Rattus norvegicus: one gene and its partners. The protein of the gene in region 4 purifies or fractionates together with the protein of the main gene of each other region. This does not show direct contact. Links are inferred from orthologs where the notes say so. Each region holds a gene or a part of one and is shown on either strand. Other genes may lie near its edges. The genes, in order: Hnrnpm, Kpna6, Parp1 and Lmna.

What was found.
Region 1: the proteins of Lmna (region 4) and Hnrnpm fractionate together in Homo sapiens (co-fractionation; 3 studies listed by BioGRID, with this or other methods). This does not show direct contact. The link is inferred for Rattus norvegicus from reciprocal best matches to the Homo sapiens genes LMNA and HNRNPM.
Region 2: the proteins of Lmna (region 4) and Kpna6 purify together in Homo sapiens (affinity purification with mass spectrometry; 4 studies listed by BioGRID and IntAct, with this or other methods). This does not show direct contact. The link is inferred for Rattus norvegicus from reciprocal best matches to the Homo sapiens genes LMNA and KPNA6.
Region 3: the proteins of Lmna (region 4) and Parp1 purify together in Homo sapiens (affinity purification with western blotting; 3 studies listed by BioGRID, with this or other methods). This does not show direct contact. The link is inferred for Rattus norvegicus from reciprocal best matches to the Homo sapiens genes LMNA and PARP1.

Annotation. Positions count from the first base shown.
Region 1 is NC_086025.1:15,157,662-15,162,065, reverse strand, and holds part of Hnrnpm (heterogeneous nuclear ribonucleoprotein M), read left to right. Parts: intron 1-832; coding exon 833-1,024; intron 1,025-1,843; coding exon 1,844-1,997; intron 1,998-2,659; coding exon 2,660-2,709; intron 2,710-3,904; coding exon 3,905-3,965; intron 3,966-4,404. UniProt on the Homo sapiens protein: Pre-mRNA binding protein in vivo, binds avidly to poly(G) and poly(U) RNA homopolymers in vitro. Involved in splicing.
Region 2 is NC_086023.1:147,280,438-147,284,841, reverse strand, and holds part of Kpna6 (importin subunit alpha-7), read left to right. Parts: intron 1-1,221; coding exon 1,222-1,353; intron 1,354-1,838; coding exon 1,839-1,927; intron 1,928-2,315; coding exon 2,316-2,415; intron 2,416-2,657; coding exon 2,658-2,821; intron 2,822-3,121; coding exon 3,122-3,200; intron 3,201-4,404. UniProt on the Homo sapiens protein: Functions in nuclear protein import as an adapter protein for nuclear receptor KPNB1. Binds specifically and directly to substrates containing either a simple or bipartite NLS motif.
Region 3 is NC_086031.1:94,848,987-94,853,390, reverse strand, and holds part of Parp1 (poly [ADP-ribose] polymerase 1), read right to left. Parts: intron 3,541-4,404; coding exon 3,438-3,540; intron 586-3,437; coding exon 469-585; intron 1-468. UniProt on the Homo sapiens protein: Poly-ADP-ribosyltransferase that mediates poly-ADP-ribosylation of proteins and plays a key role in DNA repair.
Region 4 is NC_086020.1:176,255,002-176,259,850, reverse strand, and holds the start of Lmna (prelamin-A/C), read left to right. Parts: upstream 1-1,615; 5' UTR 1,616-1,818; coding exon 1,819-2,174; intron 2,175-4,849.

The DNA of each region.
Region 1 (4,404 bases), on a different chromosome or scaffold from region 4:
CCTTGAGGGGTTGGGGAACCTGGGATTATAGAATGGTGATTTCAGACTTTGTGAAAAATCATTGATGAGTTTTACAAAGTTACTCTAATAGTAAGAGTCAACCATTGTATGCCCCTGAAGACCTTGTTTCAATCTGGAATTTTTAACTCAGGTCAGCCAATCCTTTTATCCCTTACCTATTCATTTTAGTCAAAATCGTTTTTGGATTTTTAGTTTTATGCCTTTTGGTTCTGAACTGTTACTCTTCTAGAACTCTTCTGGTTGCTGTGGTTTGTTTTGTCTTGTTAATTTGAGAAATACTTTTCAAACTGTTAGTTTCTGCAGTTTTGTTGTTTTGTTTGCTTGTTTTTCTTTGGTGTTGGAAATGGGAGTGACTGGTGCATACTGTGCTGCTTGATAAGGTCTGCCATTACTAAGTTGTATCCAAAGTGAGACTTACTGAGTACACAGCAAGGAGTGTCAGACTGGACTGTAACAGAGTCCTACGTGAAACTTTTTACTTACTTTGAGACAAGGCTTCACTTAGCTTTGTAGGCTGGCTTTGAGTTCAAGCAGACCTTGAACTGCTTTAGCAATCTTGAGGGTTAAGGCTATAGACCTTTATTTTACCACCACTGCTACAGTGCTTTACTGAGAGCCTTTTTATTGTATTTTATTTGTTTAATGATTGTTGCTGGGGATTGCACTTTGGAATATCAGGCAGAAACTTTCACTGAGCTGAGCTGCACCTCGGCAGAAGGGAGCCTCTGTAGTGGTGAAGGCAGCAGTTCCACTAGTTTCTGCAAGCCTATTCTAACCTACTTCAAGCTATAACGCTTTGTGCTTCTTTCAGGATCCTGATGGTGAACATGCAAGGAGAGCAATGCAAAAGGTGATGGCTACGACTGGTGGGATGGGTATGGGACCAGGTGGCCCAGGAATGATTAATATCCCACCCAGTATCCTAAATAATCCTAACATCCCAAATGAGATTATCCATGCATTACAGGCTGGAAGACTTGGAAGCACAGTATTTGTAGCAAATGTAAGTAAATGGGAACATTCTCTAAAATAGAAAAATAGGGAGGGATGGGAGTATGTGAAAACAGTATGCATTTAATTTTACATTGTTAGAAAAGTGTGCAAAACACTTTAGATTGACTGTATCACTGTTCTACAAGTAATTTAAGTAAGACTTAGGATAGATAGCTTGTTTTTATTTTAAAGTAGACCTTCTACTTTGTTCTCTTGTAACCCCTGCATTTGTGGCTTCAGGATTGATCTCAGTCCTACCCAGGTCTTGTTTACTGAGGTTTTCAGGCATTTACAAAAGCAGTAGCTGTATATGCATCCTTATTGGGGTTTATTTAGGTATAGGGAAGAATGGACAGACAATAGAGTTACAGTTTTTGTGTCTGGAGTAAATGGTGATATCTTTATTCTCTGCAAGGACAAATACTTTTAGGACAAAGTGGGTTTAGGAGTGTTGGACAGACTTAAAAGAGGGAGTGACTTTTTGGGGTTTTCAAGACAATTTGTCTGTGGAGTAGCCTTGGCTGGCCTTCAACTCAGATCCACCTGCCTTTGCCTTCTGAGTGCTGGGATTAAAGGCAGGTGCCACCACCATCCTGCTGGCTTTTTAAGTTTGAGGGGGAAAGTTTGTTAAATGTGAGGAGACTTCGGTTGTTCCATTTAAGAGAAGAGATAATAAATAGCAGAGTTAAGGCCAGGCTCTGCAATCCTATTTGAAAAATTCCACTGAAGTTAATTTTCTTGTAAAGTCAGTCAAGCAAGTCTTAATAGTAAAAGTATGTCTTTTTCTCCAAAGTTTACCTTGAGGTTTCTACCCTCTTCTTTCACCTAGCTGGATTATAAAGTTGGCTGGAAGAAACTGAAAGAAGTATTTAGTATGGCTGGTGTGGTGGTCCGAGCAGACATTCTGGAAGATAAAGATGGGAAAAGTCGTGGAATAGGCACTGTGACTTTTGAACAGTCCATTGAAGCTGTGCAAGCTATATGTATCCTTTTGTGGGCGTTTACTCATGGCAGACAGTGCCCACAGCACTGTTAGACGTCTATTAGTGCACCTAAGTATATTATAATAATAAGGCAGAAGTAACTTTTTTCTGTGACTAGAGTGAATAAATTACTATGGAATCTGAAAATTTTCTGGAGTGGAACACAAATGGATAGACACATGCTATGAATGGTCTTTTCAGAAGAGTTTAGGAAAACTCATTTATAAGAACTGGGACTTTTATTTGTTTATAATATCCTTTTGAATTGAACCTTCTGTCTGTTGTAGAGTAGACATTGAAGAGATCTCTCTCCCTGCTGTAGGCTTGCCCTGGGGTTACATCTTTTTAAAGTTACAATGGAGCATGTCACACATAACTACAGAAATTAAACTCAGAAGAGTATTACTGTATGATTTATCCAGAAAATATGCTATTTTAGAAGTAGTAGAACTCTTGACCTGTTGAACACATAGGAAACTGCTTGCTTTAACTAACCAGAAACATTTTGTAGTATAAAGTCTTTACTAAAACTTCATACCTAAAGAGTTGAAATTGCTTATGAATTCAGAGAGGGACTGGTAGCTATGGGATTGTTACCTTTTTATCGATTTATATAGTATGCTTTAACAATTGTTAGAAATAGCCTTAATTGTAATAACCAGCTATGTTTAATGGCCAGTTGCTGTTTGATAGACCGATGCACGTCAAGATGGTAAGTTACTAGGATCACTTTCTTTGTAATATGTTCAAATAAGTTAGGGGAAATTTAGAATTACTAAAACTATATCTAGCCCTTAAATTAGTAGTCTGCGGAGAGATGAGCGCCTTTGCTCATGGAAATTTTTTCTGTAGATCCCTCTCTGGTTGACTATTACTGTTAACTCCTATGTTCAGGAAGTCCATTGAGTATCCTGCGAGCTCCAGTTTTCAAAGTATAACATACAGTGTTTGGTTAGTATTATATTTGTAATGAACAAATATTTGATTCAGACAGCTTTTAAAGGTCTATTGGAGTTAGTCTTCATAAACAATAACTCTGCTATAGTGTTGCCAAAGAAAATAATTTATAGAAACAGTACTGGAAGATGTTGAGGGCAGTCTGGTTAGGGTTCAGATTCAGAAGTAAATGGAACTATAGGTTTTGTTATTTGAAGGAGTTTAATTCTTTGAATAGCTAATGGATTCATAAGTCTCAAAACACATGAAAAGAGAGGCTAGAGAGATGGCTTAGCATTAAGAGCATTGGCTGTTCTTCTAGAAGACTCCTGTTCAATTCCTAGCACCCACATGACAGCTCACCACTCCAGCTCCAAGAGTTCCAACACCTTCACACAGATATACATGTAGGTAAAATACCAGTGCACATAAGATAAGCATAAATAATTAAACCATGAAATGATAGTGTAAGCCTCACTGGTACTTACTGCTCAGGTGCTGCCCTACTCACCAAATAATACAAATGTATTTTTATCCTTCCTGTTGTTGGCCCAGAAGATAAAAACATACTCCCATATATCTCTTTATGTTTGATGTAGTTCTGTGCCGTAGCTATGTCATAGTTTATTTATATTTAACTAATTATCTGGTTTGTTTAGTTTAAACTTTTGCTTTTTCCCTGGTGCTAAGGACTGGCCACAGGGCCTTGTAAATGATAGGCAGGTGTTTTATCTCTGGGCTACATCTCCAAACCTATCTTTGTTATTATTTTTTATTTTGTTTTGTGTAATGTAAGCTATCCTAGAACTTGGTATGTATCCCAAAGCTGGCCTTGAATTCCTGACCCTTTTTTGTAAGTCTCTGAAGTGTTGTGATTACAGGTGTGGAGGTGTACAGGTGGCTTCTCTGGTTCTTTTGTTATTGGTGCTCCAGTAGAGATTTCTTTTTTTTCTTTCTTTCTTTTTTTCCAGGATGAGAGGGCTTTACCAAAGGGAGACTTTTTTCCTCCTGAACGCCCACAGCAACTTCCTCGTGAGTATATGAATTATACTAAATAGAAACTGTTACAGTTATATTTACACTTGCGGTTGTGGAAAGGTTACCCTGGGGTTCTCTTGATCTGTTTGTCCTGTCACCACCCCACCCTACACAGGTTGCACTATGTAGCATTGGCTAGCCTGGAACTCACAGAGATCTGTTTGCCTCTAACTTCCTAAGTGTTGGGATTAATGATGTGCACTTGCTATGCATGTCTTGATTAGTTGTTTTCTATAGATTTTTCAGGATAAGAAATGAGTGAAGAAATTCACAACTTAAAGAGTTTTGATAGTGGCACTGGCTCAGAGGGTAAAGGGATCTGATACAAAACCTGATGACTTGAGTTTAACCCCTGGCAGCCACATGTTCGAGGAAGAGATTCCTTCAAGTTGTCCTCAGACCTTGACTTGTGTACCAAGGCTTTTTTTGTGTG
Region 2 (4,404 bases), on a different chromosome or scaffold from region 4:
CTTTTTAAATGAGAGAGAGAGACAGACAGACAGACAGACACACACACATACACACACACACCTCAACCCAGGACACATGATTGGAGAGAACTGACTCCTGCAGGTTGTCCTCTGATTACAAACATGGTATGGCACATACATGGACATACAGACAAAAAAAGGTTTTGGATCTTAGTAATTATGTGAACCTGGCTGAGTTTCCACAGTGTATATATGCAAAGATGGGGCAGGTGCAGCTTTAAGCCACACTAATACTTTCAGCATGCAATAGGCTGGGCAGGAGGATTGCCACAGGGTTGTTACCAGCCTGGGCTACATAGCAAGACCTAGAAGAGTGTGTGTGTGTTGGGGGGGTTTTCATTTCAGAGATCTGAGAATGTGATACATTGTTTCATTATAAATCAGAGTTTAGTGCACCTCTAACTTACCCTGATACAAATTGTCACTGTGTCCAGAGACAGTTAATGAGCAGATCCATCAGAACTTGGCTTGAAACACAACGGAGTTCATAGGTGTGATGTTGGTGTGATGTCAGTGAGATGCAGGTGTGATGTCAGTGAGATGCAGGTGTGATGTCAATGAGATGCAGGTGTGATGTCGGTGAGATGCAGGTGTGATGTAGGGGAGATGCAGGTGAGATGTAGGTGTGATGCAGGTGTGAAGCAGGTGAGATGCAGGTGTGATGTAGGTGAGATGCAGGTGTGAAGCAGGTGAGATGTAGGAGAGATGCAGGTGTGATGTAGGTGAGATGCAGGTGTGAAGCAGGTGAGATGCAGGTGAGATGCAGGTGTGAAGCAGGTGAGATGCAGGTGAGATGCAGGTGTGAAGCAGGTGAGATGTAGGAGAGATGCAGGTGTGATACAGGTATGATGGCTCATGGCTATAGTATATGCCAGCATGTAGGGAACAGAGGTAAAAGCTCAAGGCCAGCCTTGGCCACAGGGTAAGACCTTAGAGAGGAAAACTGGGGAGGAGGGGTTTACTATCCTCACTCTTCCCCTTTCAGAGACGAAAGAACTTCTGGGTCAGTAAAGCCCAGTCGGTCGACCTTCACATGTGCAGCGTGCACATCGCTGCCTGCTGCCAACTACAGGATGGTGGGCAAAGACGTGTCTGGTTCGGCTTCTTTATGTGCTAGAGGTTGGCTGTTGTGAGGCAGGTGGTAGGCAGGGCTGCTCAGTCTGGAGTGACCTCTCAGTTGTGTCGTAATCTCACTTTCAGTTTGAAGCTGCCTGGGCTCTAACAAACATTGCCTCTGGAACCTCTCAGCAGACCAAAATTGTCATTGAAGCAGGAGCTGTCCCCATTTTTATAGAGCTGCTTAACTCAGACTTTGAAGATGTACAAGAACAGGTAATGCTCGAGCTTTGGTTAATGTTTCAGCGGTACTAACAGTATGATAAAAAACATAGTAATGCGTATTTGGAGGAACATGGACAAGTGAACAAGGCTTGGTGCTGCACATATGAATCGGTTAGCCTGTGATACTTACACAGAAACGGAAAGTTTCTTTTACCTGATGTGGATCAGGTCCAAGGTGGGGAGAGAGTCGAAGCTTTCCCTTCCTGCTGGAGGGACGATGGGGCTGTAGTTCAGCCTCTCTGGCTTCAGGTCTTATGGCAGCCTGTCTGTCCCACTGAGCCAGGGCCTCCTGGGGAAAAGCTCTTACAGAACACGTGCTCAGTAAGGATAATTCTAGACCCTAGAAGCTAGGGAGAGCACTTCAGTGGGTCGGGCCCTAACACTGTCCTCAACCTGATGGACCACTTTGTAGCATTGATTATAAGTAGTCACAGAAGCCACCAGGCTCTCATGACAGTCCTTTCACTCCTTTCCAGGCAGTCTGGGCTCTTGGAAACATAGCTGGAGACAGTTCAGTCTGCAGAGACTATGTCTTGAATTGTTCCATCCTTAATCCTCTGTTAACGTGAGTATCAATAGCATTAGCATCCGGGGGTGGGGTCTGTAGGTGGCTTAAGTGGCGGTACATTTTGGGGGGGGTTTACTTAATCCCTTAAGATAATAAAGCCCTAGGTCAGGCAGTGGTGGCACACACCGTAGTCCCAGCACTCAGGAGGCAGAGGCAGTCAGATTTCTGAGTTCAAGGCCACCTTGGTCTACAGAATGAGTTTAAGGATGACCAGAGTTGCACAGATAATCCTAGCCCTTGGGAAGCCAGCCCAGGCTACATAGCAAGTTTCAGACCAGCCAGGACTGAACACAATAGTCAGGGGTCTGGGTTATCCTCTAGGGTTTGATGCTAAGAGCCCTGCTTTAGGCCATCAGTGCTCAGATTATGGCTTCACTGTTTACAGACTCCTTACTAAGTCCACACGACTGACGATGACACGGAATGCAGTCTGGGCCCTGTCAAACCTCTGCCGAGGGAAGAACCCTCCTCCAGAGTTCGCAAAGGTGAGAGCTAACTAGGATTTCTTTTAAGTTTTGGGCAGACCCATGAGAGTCTCAACTCATGTACAAGTAAAAGGCAGTTGTCAGTGTAGAGGGCTATTTTTTGTACCAGGGTAGGAAAGTGAAAAGGTGGTCCTACAGGTTTGGTGACATTCCCAGGGTGTAGAATTCCATGTTGGGAAGGGGGAGCCATGATAGGCTTAGTGACAGAGCTGATGCAGTCCTCCTTACTCTGCTTCCAACAGGTCTCTCCTTGTTTGCCTGTATTGTCTCGCCTACTCTTCAGCAGCGACTCAGACTTGCTGGCAGATGCTTGCTGGGCCCTCTCTTACCTGTCTGATGGCCCCAATGAGAAGATCCAGGCAGTCATAGACTCTGGAGTCTGCCGGAGATTGGTAGAGCTTCTGATGTGAGTGGTTTCAATTCAAGAGGGTTTCCAAGGTCAAAGAGCTCTAACCAAAGTGAGGCATGGTGGTGGGACTGTAATCCCAGCACTTGGGAGACTGAGACAGGAGAATACCAAATTCAAGGATAGGGTGGGCTGCAGTATAAAGACTGTCTCACAGAACAAAGCAGAAAAGCTACCATCAGCAGATTGCTGACCCACCAAAGGTCTGCAGCTGAAGGCATGCATACAGCCAGTGTTGGTTTTCAGCAGGGCTGAACGGGATGCGCTGCCTTTCCACTGATCGCTGTTCTTCCTCTGTAGGCACAACGATTACAAAGTGGCGTCTCCTGCCTTGAGAGCTGTGGGTAATATTGTCACCGGGGATGATATCCAGACCCAGGTGAGGAAGAAGAGGGATGGGATCTTAACTCAGGTCAGCCGTGGGAGAACATAAGAGAGCTGCTTGTGGGAAAAGGTCTTCCTATGTAACTACATGGTCTAACAGAGAAAGCATGGCTTTAAGTGGTTTTAGCACTGGCAGTTTCTATATTATCACGATTCCTTCTTTTGAACAGTTAGAAACAAATCATCCAGTTGTTGCTTATGCAAAGAAAGCTAAATGGAATGGCTGACTTACTGGAATAGTGTAAGGAAATGAAGGCTGGGCCGTGGTCCTTTTGAGACACTGGAAGCTGTGGGATCACCAATACTCAGCTTCAGTGTCTGTGCTCATCACCTCATGTTGAACTCATGCTAACCTTTGGGCTGTAATCCTAGCAATTATGAGTGAGAGGCAGAAGGCTCAGCTAGTCCAGGGCCATCTTCAGTTGCATGAAACCCTATCTCAAAAAAACAAAAATACGAAAAATAATTCCTTCAAACCAGTAGCAGGGTGGGGGTGCAACTGCTGGGGAGGCTGACGTAGGAAGGAAGCAGCAGCCCAGGACTTTGAGACCCGCCTGTGCGGTACAAGGTCCTGTCTCAGAAGAGTAAGCAGTGTGGCCCTGCACACACATGGACATGGAGATGTAAGATAAAGCTGGAATGACCCACAGCCAAGGGCACTGCATGGCTCCCTGTTCCAAAGTTAGAACCCGCTGACTTCCTGCCTGCCGTCCTCAGCAGGTGTCCCCATGAGTTAGTGTGTGCTCTCCCTCCTCTGGCCGGTTATGTGTGGCTTTATTCCACTGATTGCTATAGACACTTCCTTGTAAGTGAAGTCACAACATATTAGTCCTTCACATCTTTGTGTGTTGAATTTGAATTCTTTAGTAAGGCTGAATGGTGTTCTAGTGTCTGTGCATTCTGTTTTAAAGCCTTCATCGTCTTGTAAGCGTGTATGTTGTTTCTGCTCCCTAGCTGTTGTGAATGATGCTGCTGTGCGCCCTGGTGTGCAGTCTCTGCTTCCCTTTTTTTTGGTCACATGTATGCAAAAGAGATTGGATAACATGGTGATTTATGCTAATCTGTAAGGTTAGCAGCCGTGTCGTCTTCTGTCTCTACCAGCGCTGTTCTTCCATGCTCCAGCTTCTCCCTCTCCAAGACATCGCACTTCTGTTATGTCTGTGTCAGCCATCCCAATGACTGTAACGTGCTGTCTCCTG
Region 3 (4,404 bases), on a different chromosome or scaffold from region 4:
TTGCATGCTGGGATAGCTGGGGGAGGAGATGGTGACCAGGACTGTTTTTAACGAAATCTCATCAAACATTTGATTTTACCAATGAAGACTTGGGAGCCAGATGTCTGCTGCTCAGAGAGGCAGAGAAAGCACCTAGGTGGCCTTCCTTCTCAGCTGCGGTCCCAAAAGGAAGCTCTCCTAAACCACACCAGTTCAAAACCTGTAAACTGAACGTCCTCCCTCTCCTTTCGGTATGCCTCTCTGTCCTCCTGCCTCCCTCTTACTCTGTTTTTCCCCACTGTTCACTTCCTGTCACCTGGTTGCTTGCCTTTGACCCATGCTGACTTCATTGAGTCTTATTTACAATAAACAGAAGCTCTTGGACGGAAGGTGTGTTAGGATGAGCCACACCACAGCCACGCGACAGCGCCATGGAGCTCATTTCCTGCAGGGCCTCCTGTGTGTCCCCCACAGCATAAGGGCACTCACTGCGGACTCTCCAGATGGTACTTGCTGCTGGTTGAAGATGAGCAACTCCTTCAGGTCGTTGGTGGAGCAGGCTTTCTTCAGCTCATCTTTGATATTCCAGACCAGCTCGTTCTGAGCCTGAGGATGAGAGCCCTCAGCTGAGGTCAGTTCTTTCCAAACTGTAATTAATAGCTTTCTTACCTTACATTTAAAAAGGTTACATTCAGTCACTGATGTGTGTGCACTATCATGTTTCACAGGGCACGTTTAGAGGCCTGAGAGTGTGGGGGCTAATATTCTCCTTCCATAATGCAAAGGCTGGGTTTTTGTTGTTGTTTTTTGGGGATGGGGTGGGGTCCTCACTCTATTCTGTAACTCTGCTGTCCTGAAACTCACTATATATACCAGGCTGATTGGCCTCTAACTCTGCCCCCCAAATGTTAGGATTAAAGATGTGTATTATTACGCCTAGCCCCTAATGTAGGTTTTGTAGGTCAAACTCAGGTCACTAGGGGTCAGTGAGGGGCTGGCCACAGGGCACCTGGGACACTGTTCAAGGAGGTGGGATTCACTGTCACTGAAGCAGGGAGTATGAGCCTCTTTCTTCTGGGATACTAAAAGTCTGGGTCATACACTTTAAAAGTCCAATCAGTAACTTTTAAGGGGAGGCTGAGGTGAGTGAGACAGAATCGGACTCAGGAACCCAGGCTGGCCTGAAGTTAAGCATGTAGCCCAGGCTGCCCTCAAATTTACAGAAATTCTCTTGCCTCAGTCTTTGTTGGACTTTGGCCCGATGACCTGAGTTTGGTCCCTGGGACCCAAACTGTGGAATTGACTCCATCATGGAGGCTCACAACACCACCCTAACTTAGTCTGGGTTATCTGGATACCCTTTTCTGACCTCTTCTGGCACTAGGCAAGCATGTGGCATACAAACACACACATATAAAACAGTTTTTCACATACAATTAGATATGTATGATTGACTGAAACCTCAACTCAGGTTACTAGACTAGGTGAACAGTGTCTTCCCGGCTGTTTCTCCAGGGCTGGTCTGACCAACTCCACCCTCAGGTTTACCCCTCAGGCAAACCCCTGCACACATCAAAATAAAGCATAAATCTCTCGGGCACAGTACAGAAGCATCACCTGTCAATAAAAAAGCTGCTGGCCTATTAGCTTAGACAGGAAATAGAAAGTGGGAGTTTCAGTAGGAAGAGAGGAACTCTGGGATAGTCCAGCACAGGAAGTTAATTAGCTGATGGAGATGGTTGGATAAGCCCAAGAAGTAACTATCCACGTGGCAGGACTCAGAGTAAACGGGGCAATGACAGCTAAAGCTTTGGCCTAGGCATTTATTCATTGATAAATCAATCTCAGAGTTGCTATTTTGGGAATTTGAGCACAGATGGAAAAGCCCACAATTATAATAAAGCCAGGCAATGCTCTCAGAAAACATTTGCAAAGCAAGAAGGAGACCACTTGTAAATAAGACTGAGTCCCTTATTGCATGGGCCCTGGTATCAACCCTCAGAAAACTGTTTCAAGGCACAGAGAAGGGACTGGAAGTTCTGGGCCCCATTATCTTTCCCAATACCCACTTACAGATTTCCCTGCACACTCAAGCTCAAGCAAGAGCATAAGTGATCCCTTCTACACTGGGACTCGAAAACCCTGACTTCAATGTCTAAGTGCCCACGCTTCGATGGCGCTTTTATGCGCATCTCACTCATTCTCACGGTGACCTGCCAGGGCGGTAGGCCGGGGTGGCCCTCTCCCCTTGGGAGAGCAGGCTGGTGGGTCGTGCAACGGGCTGCACCTAAGATGGAGGGGAGTGCCGGCCCTGCCCACACCAAGGGAAGGTTTTAACTCCACTGACTGAGGCCATCACCTACCATCCCTCCTTCCCACTTCCGGTGCTGGGGCTCTCAGTACCAACACCCTTCTCACTTCTCCCCAAGGCAGGGCACACAGTGGGAGGGCAGACCCATCTGTCTTATGGCTGAGGCTAGAGACTACAGAGACAGACAGACTGAAGTAGGGAAGGAGCTGAGAGAGTGGGCCAATCCTGCTTTTATCACTGGCGATGTTGGAGAGCACATCAGCACACTTACTGAAAGGCAAATGCAAATATGTGAAAGAAAAATTAAAAAAAGAAAATCAAACAGAGGGATGACTGGAGCCACTCATGACTCAGTTAAGAGCACCGGTTGCTCCTACAGAGAACCTACATTCATTCCCAACATCCACATGGCAGCTCAGAAGTCTCTCCAGTCTTCATAGGGCTGCAGGGAGCAGACGCACGTGAGACACACAGGCAGGCAAAACACCCATACCGAGAAGGAAAAAGCAGCAGTTGAATATCACACACACACATTTAAGCAGAGGGCTCCACCCGTCAAAACCAGATCACATATGCTTATAACTGAGCCAGTAGCAAAAGCTGAAAACCACACACTCAAGCTCTGGAAAAATCACGTTCCCAAGACTGTCCAGCGCCCAACATTCTACAGGTGGTAACCGCTTCTCAGCTCCGAATAGCACAATTAACTCTAACGAGCCTTCCCTGGCCAACAGCCACCGGTTTAGTGTGGGGAATACTGCATGCGCTCCAGCCCTTTGTTGACCTTCCTTCCCAGGCGCCTGCACTGAGAACTGGCATCTGGGGACTCAGTCTCATTCTCCAACACTCATGAGTGAGCTGAAGGTGTAGAGTGCCACATGATGCCTCGACGGGACTGAAGCATCATCACCGTGTCTGTCACCCAGGGTCGAGGAAGACACGAACATTCTACATGGTTGGTCCTGGCTGCAGACCGGGCATCCAAGGCCTCATGTGCTCCATTACCCAAATAAAAATGGTCTCTATGAACAAGGACAAGCTCGGAGAAAGCAGCCATGCACACGAGAGTTTCTCCTGCTCTTGGTGAGTAGGGACAGCCGAGTGTCCTGCATGAGAAAGGACAGAGGACACACAGCCCAGGACTCACCTTGAGCGCCTTTTCCAGTTTACTACTCTCCTTGTCCTTTCCTTTTTTAGATTTCTTTTTGGCTACTTCATCTATTCCATCCACCTCGTCACATTTTCTCTTTCTGAAAGAAATACAGGACTTAGTAAGAACTCTAGAAACCGATACCAAATACCAGGTGACATGCCACAATGTCACTTTAGCCTTGTTAGCTGCTGCCCAGGCAGACGGGAGATGCTATGCCATTCAGGGCCTCTTCTGCCAATAAGGAGGGGCCTGGAGCTCATCCCAGTGTCCAGAACAGCCAGGACAGACCAAGGGCTTAGGTCACATCTCATGCTAAACCCATATGTCTCTTGCATACAAAATGACTGGGAACTGTGGCAAAGTCAAACACAACTATAAGAACTGAGTCTGGAGTGAGACAGAGCTGCTCCCCAGAACACCACGCAGGCTGAGTTCACCCTGGCACTTTCTAGAGCCACGTGCTAGGGAAGGGCAGGACTTGCAGGGCTATGGTGATAGCGAGATCAGGCACAGAGCTGAGCACGCTCCAGCTCCCCAGCATCACGTCATAGAGACACCCTGCCTGCCGCCGGCCCAGGGCATCCTCACCCTCTGGCCTGACTTGCTAATGTCACATTCCAAAGCTACTGTGCTGCTCTACAAACTTGTGTTAGGCCCACTGAGAGCGCAAGAAGCTGCCTGGTGACAGCAGCATAGGAGTTGCTTGTGAGCACAGCACGCCCATTAATAGGCTACTCTGGGAGGAGGCCCTTCCATTCTAGATGCTAATTCCATGTGTGCCCATCTGTTCCGATTCCAGGCCCTTCCCACTGTTCTTCTTTTTGTGAACAGCCATGATTCTCCTTCCCAGAGATCCAGACACAGAAATGTCCCTGCCGCATGACTGTGGCAATGTTAAAAGAACACAAATGTGGATCTTCACAGGGTTTGGAACCATGGCCATCACCCGTGCAAGGAAACT
Region 4 (4,849 bases):
TGTTGTTTTGTCTGGGAAGTTGAGTGGCAGCCACATAGCCCGAGGGAGAGAACTAGAGGGAAAGGAAGCTACGTCCTAGGTCCTCTCCCCTAGATGCATCCTGGCTTCTTACCACACTGCCCAGTCACCCTCACAGAACTAACTCTCCCAGAGCCAAGTGGAGTGGAACACACCTTTAATCCCAGTCCTCTGGAGGCAGAGGCAGGCAGATCTCTGAGTTCAAGGCTGGCCTGGTCTACAAAAGGCGTTCCAGGGGTACGTAGAGAAACTCCGTCTTGAAAAAGCAAAATGGCAACAACAAAATCTCCTAGAGTCCCAACTCAAGCCCACGACCTAGAACCTGTCCAGTTCTGGAACTGGCAGGTTAATCGGTGCCCTGAGTGCTCCATGGAATGAGCAGGGAAGGCTCCATTGCAGGAGGGGATGATGGGGCCAGTGCAGCTTAGGCTAGGGTTACAGGAGAGGACTAGACAGCTGACCAAGAGTCTTTGATGGAGGCTGAAGAACCTGGGACCAGGGTTACTGTATTGGGAGATAGTCTAGTCAGGGCCCACTCATAACTGGCTAGAAAGGCATGCAGTGGCTGAGGAGGGGTGGCTTTGCTCTTCGTGCTCCCACTGTTAGGAATGGAACCCAGATGGAGACCCTGCATTAATAACCCTCCGACCCCATTCCTCTTTTCAGGCCCTTCTTGCAGTCACAAAAATCTGGAACCTGGTGTCCTAGCCATGTGTTGAATGCACGCACAGCTCTGGTATCTGTTTTAAATTATCCATTAAAATAAGTACAGTCCTGGAAAAAAATAAGTACAGTCTTGGACTTGGCTGGGTGGAGTAAACTGAAGAAAGGGGCTGAAAGGGAGGGATTATAACAGCCATTTCCAACTGTCTGGGTCCAAATGAAAGGGGAGGGGGGATTGGGAGGGGCCAGCTTCTGGCTTCTATTCTTGGCTTTCTCTTGGGGACTGAGGCTTATTCCTTAGATCTAAAACCCAATGTTTGGTTTTAAAGCCAGAAATATAAGGGAAGTGCATAGGTTTAAAAAAAAAAAAAAAAAGGCCCTTGATCTTTGCCCCAAACTTGAGGGCATAAAGTAATATGTTAGTTACCTAAAAACCCAGACGTTCCTTTGCCATCCCACTCCTGGCATACTGAAATGCAGCCCTGGATAGGCCGCTCCTGTGCGTGGGGGAGAGGTGACTCACTGTTACTACTGAGGAAAGGGGAGCCAGTGGTGGAAGTGGGTGAGTCACTGATGGGCAGCAGCCTCAGCCCTCCCCCAGCTTCCTTGGCTCCCTGGGGATGCCTAGCTCTCTCCCTCACTTTGCACCTACTTCCCCTGGTCCCTCGCCACTACCCTTCGCCCACCCACTCTCATTCCTTTACTCTGCCCTTTACCCCAGAAGGCCAAAGCTTGGAGTTGAGTAGGCAGGAACCAACATTGTGAAGCCCCAGGCCAGAAAGGGGTGTTCTGCAGACTGAGGGTTAGCATGCTGGCTCCTCCTCACCATACCTGCCTCCGCCCCTTTGGGTCTAGGATGGCTCCTTTAAGAGCAGTGGATCCACCCCCTGTGGAGGAGGGCCTATTAGAGTCTCTGCCCGGCTGTCAGTGACTCAGTGTTCGCGGGAACGCTGCCTCAGCCTCAACACCAGCCAACCCAGATCCCGAGGTGCGCCAGCGCCCAGCCCAGATCTCCACGCCTGCCAGGAGCGAGCTTCGCCGGCTCGCTGTCCCCCGAGCAGCCTCTGTCCTTCTGTCCGAGTCCCGCGCCCTTCTCGGGACCCCTGCCCAGCGGGCAGCACTGCCACCCTGCCGGCCATGGAGACCCCGTCTCAGCGGCGCGCCACCCGCAGTGGGGCGCAGGCCAGCTCTACCCCGCTGTCGCCCACTCGGATCACACGGCTGCAGGAGAAGGAGGACCTGCAGGAGCTCAATGACCGTCTGGCCGTGTACATCGATCGCGTGCGCTCCCTGGAGACGGAGAACGCGGGGCTGCGCCTTCGCATCACTGAGTCTGAAGAGGTGGTCAGCCGAGAGGTGTCCGGCATCAAGGCGGCCTACGAGGCCGAGCTGGGGGATGCCCGCAAGACCCTCGACTCTGTGGCCAAGGAGCGCGCCCGCCTCCAGTTGGAGCTGAGCAAAGTGCGTGAGGAGTTCAAGGAGCTGAAGGCGCGGTGAGTGAGGCCTGGCCGGCCAGCACCAGGGAAGCAGCAGTCTTCCATAACTGGCCATCTAGTCCCCTCCCTCCCCGGAACTGCCTCCCGCGGGTGACTGGCAGTGCCAAGGGTAATAGTCATGACAGGACACAGCAGGGAGAGGGTCTCTGTGAGAGGGTGGGGGGATATAAAGAATGGTGGGGCATGGAGACCAAGTAGCCTTGGTTACAGGGCCTCACTCTGTCAAGGTGGGATCTTATAGCCATTTGGAGCCTGGGGGATGGGCTGGAGGAAGGCAGAACAGGCTTTACCAGGTCTTGGAACTCCCGAATGAGGCCCGGAACACAGCAGAATGGGTGAAAGGGTTTTATTAGAACTTTCTTGGTGGATTTGGCACTCTGCCAATTTTGCCCAACGTGACTCTGAACACATGATGTCCACTAAAACATATCTCTCACACAGACATTTGTCCGGTGGTATTGTAGAGGGGTCACCAAGGCTGCGTAGCCCCTTTCTCCCATGGCTGTGTACGCAAGGCCTTCTCCTGGTTCTAGGAGCTGGGAATGTCTGGGACCTTTCCTAGACTCTGCCCTCCAGAAGCACAGGAGGAAGCTCCCCCGCAGATCCCACAGCCCTTGGCCTGCCTCGACTAGGAATGCAAGAGAGTGTGGGGAGGGAAACTGGGCACAGAAGCTAATGGCCCTGGAAAATCTGTTATGCCTGGGTCTGGGGCTCCCCAACCCTGGCCCTCTCTGTTTGGTGACTTAAAGGTTTGGAAGCTCTGTCCTTTCCTCCCTCAGCCAATAAGCCACTTCCGGTTTCCTAGCCAAGCCAGACTTTACTCTGGCCCATCCTCCAAGCTGTTGATGTCTTGATCTTATTAAACTGCTGGAATACAATGACATTTTTGAAATCCAGCCGTTAGAGAGCTTCAGGCCACTCCCACCTCACCCATCCCTGCCCCACCCTGCCCCACCCTACTCGACTCCACCTTCTTTCTAAAAGGACTTTCCAAAGCCTGGGAGTGTGGGCCCTGGCTCCCGGGACTCCCACAGGCTCTGTGTCTGGGATCTTTTCTTCTATGCTGTAGACCAAGCCAAAGAGCGTTGGCCATGCGTGCAGATACCTAAGGCTCTGGTAGCTTAGACTTCTCTTCCTCTTTTTCCTTTTGCATTATCTTCTGACAGAGCCCACTGACTATCAGTGGTTGGTCATTCTGTTCCTTACCAGATCCCAGCCATAGGTGGTGGCAAGCTCATTTTCTCAAGTATGAGCGGAGGTCATGTGCACAGATGGGTCCAGCCTTTCTCTCAGCTAATAGGAATTACCTGTCTTTTCTCTATTAGGGATATGAATACCTTATCAAGAAATACATGAGGCAAGTTAGAGGAGTCCCAGTGAGTTAACTAGTTAGTTAAGCTATAGTTAAACTAGTTTAAGTCAACCACCAAAGCTCTTGCAGATCCTGGTGCAGAACTTGTCTAGTAGATCTGGGGACAGGGGGAGTGGAAGATAGAGCTTTTGTTCATCTAGCTGAGCCACTCTGTGTCTTCTGCCCCCAGTGCAGCTGTCCAGGCCTGGGACACCAGGTGGTGTGTACACACATGGGGTAGGGGCCGGGCGATGTGTGGACTTTTTATATTTAGCCACCTGCCTCTATTCTCAACTGAGCCTACCCGAGGAGGCTGGGCTTCCAGGAAGGGGGTTGGGGTGAGTATACACACCTAGGTCCTTGCTGGTGGGGTGAAGTGGAGGCGAAGTGAGCTTAGATGGATGTCTGTCCTTCTATGTCCATTGCAGAAGACTCATGGCTCTGCCCTTTGTATGGCTGGTGAGCTCAGACTGAGGTGGAGAAATGGCCTGAGTGAAGTTTGGGGAGGATGAAAGGCATTGTCCGGGCCCTCCCACCAGGGCTGGGGGTGGGGAAAAGTGACCAATTTAATGTTTAATTCCAGCTCAGAGTTCAGGGTCAGGCTTGGAGTTAGGCATAACTATGAGACCGGTGACAATCTTTAGCACAGTTCAACTTGGATCTCTCAACTGCACCCACAAGGCTCTTCAAACTGGGTTGTAAGTTCCAAGGAGGAGGCAGGGGAGAGGGGGAACAAAACAACTCTCTCCTTCCCTCTTCCTCCCTCTCCTCCAGAGGTTTAGATATCTAAGCTGGGAGAAGGGGACAGTTGGAAGTGAGGGAAGGCTCACCCCAGGCTTATGGGTAAGCTCAAGTCCAAGCTAGACAGCTGCATGGATGACTCAGACGCCACCCTCCTACCCTAGTGGCTTTTTAGAGACAACAGGAGACGGAGATAGACCACAGATGTCTGAAAGGGACAGCTATGGGCCTGGATAGCTACATTTCCTGTCCTGTCTCTACAGCATGCTGGGGTCCCTTTTCTGTCTCCCCCCAACTTTAGATTTATTTAAGTGTGTGTGAGAGTACATGCACATGTGCCACAGTGTTCACGGCAGAACATAGCTTGGGGAATTTGGTTCTCTCCTACCTAATATGGGGTTAGGGATTGAATTTAAGTCATCAGGCTTGGCAGAAAGCACTCTTACCCATGAAACCTTCTTCTAGTCCCTTGCCTCCTTCCTTGGAACCTCTGACCTCTGAGAGTAATTCTAGACCCAGGAGGCAGAGGCAGAGGCAGAAGCAGAGGCAGGCGGATCACCAAAAGTTTGGGTTAGCTAGC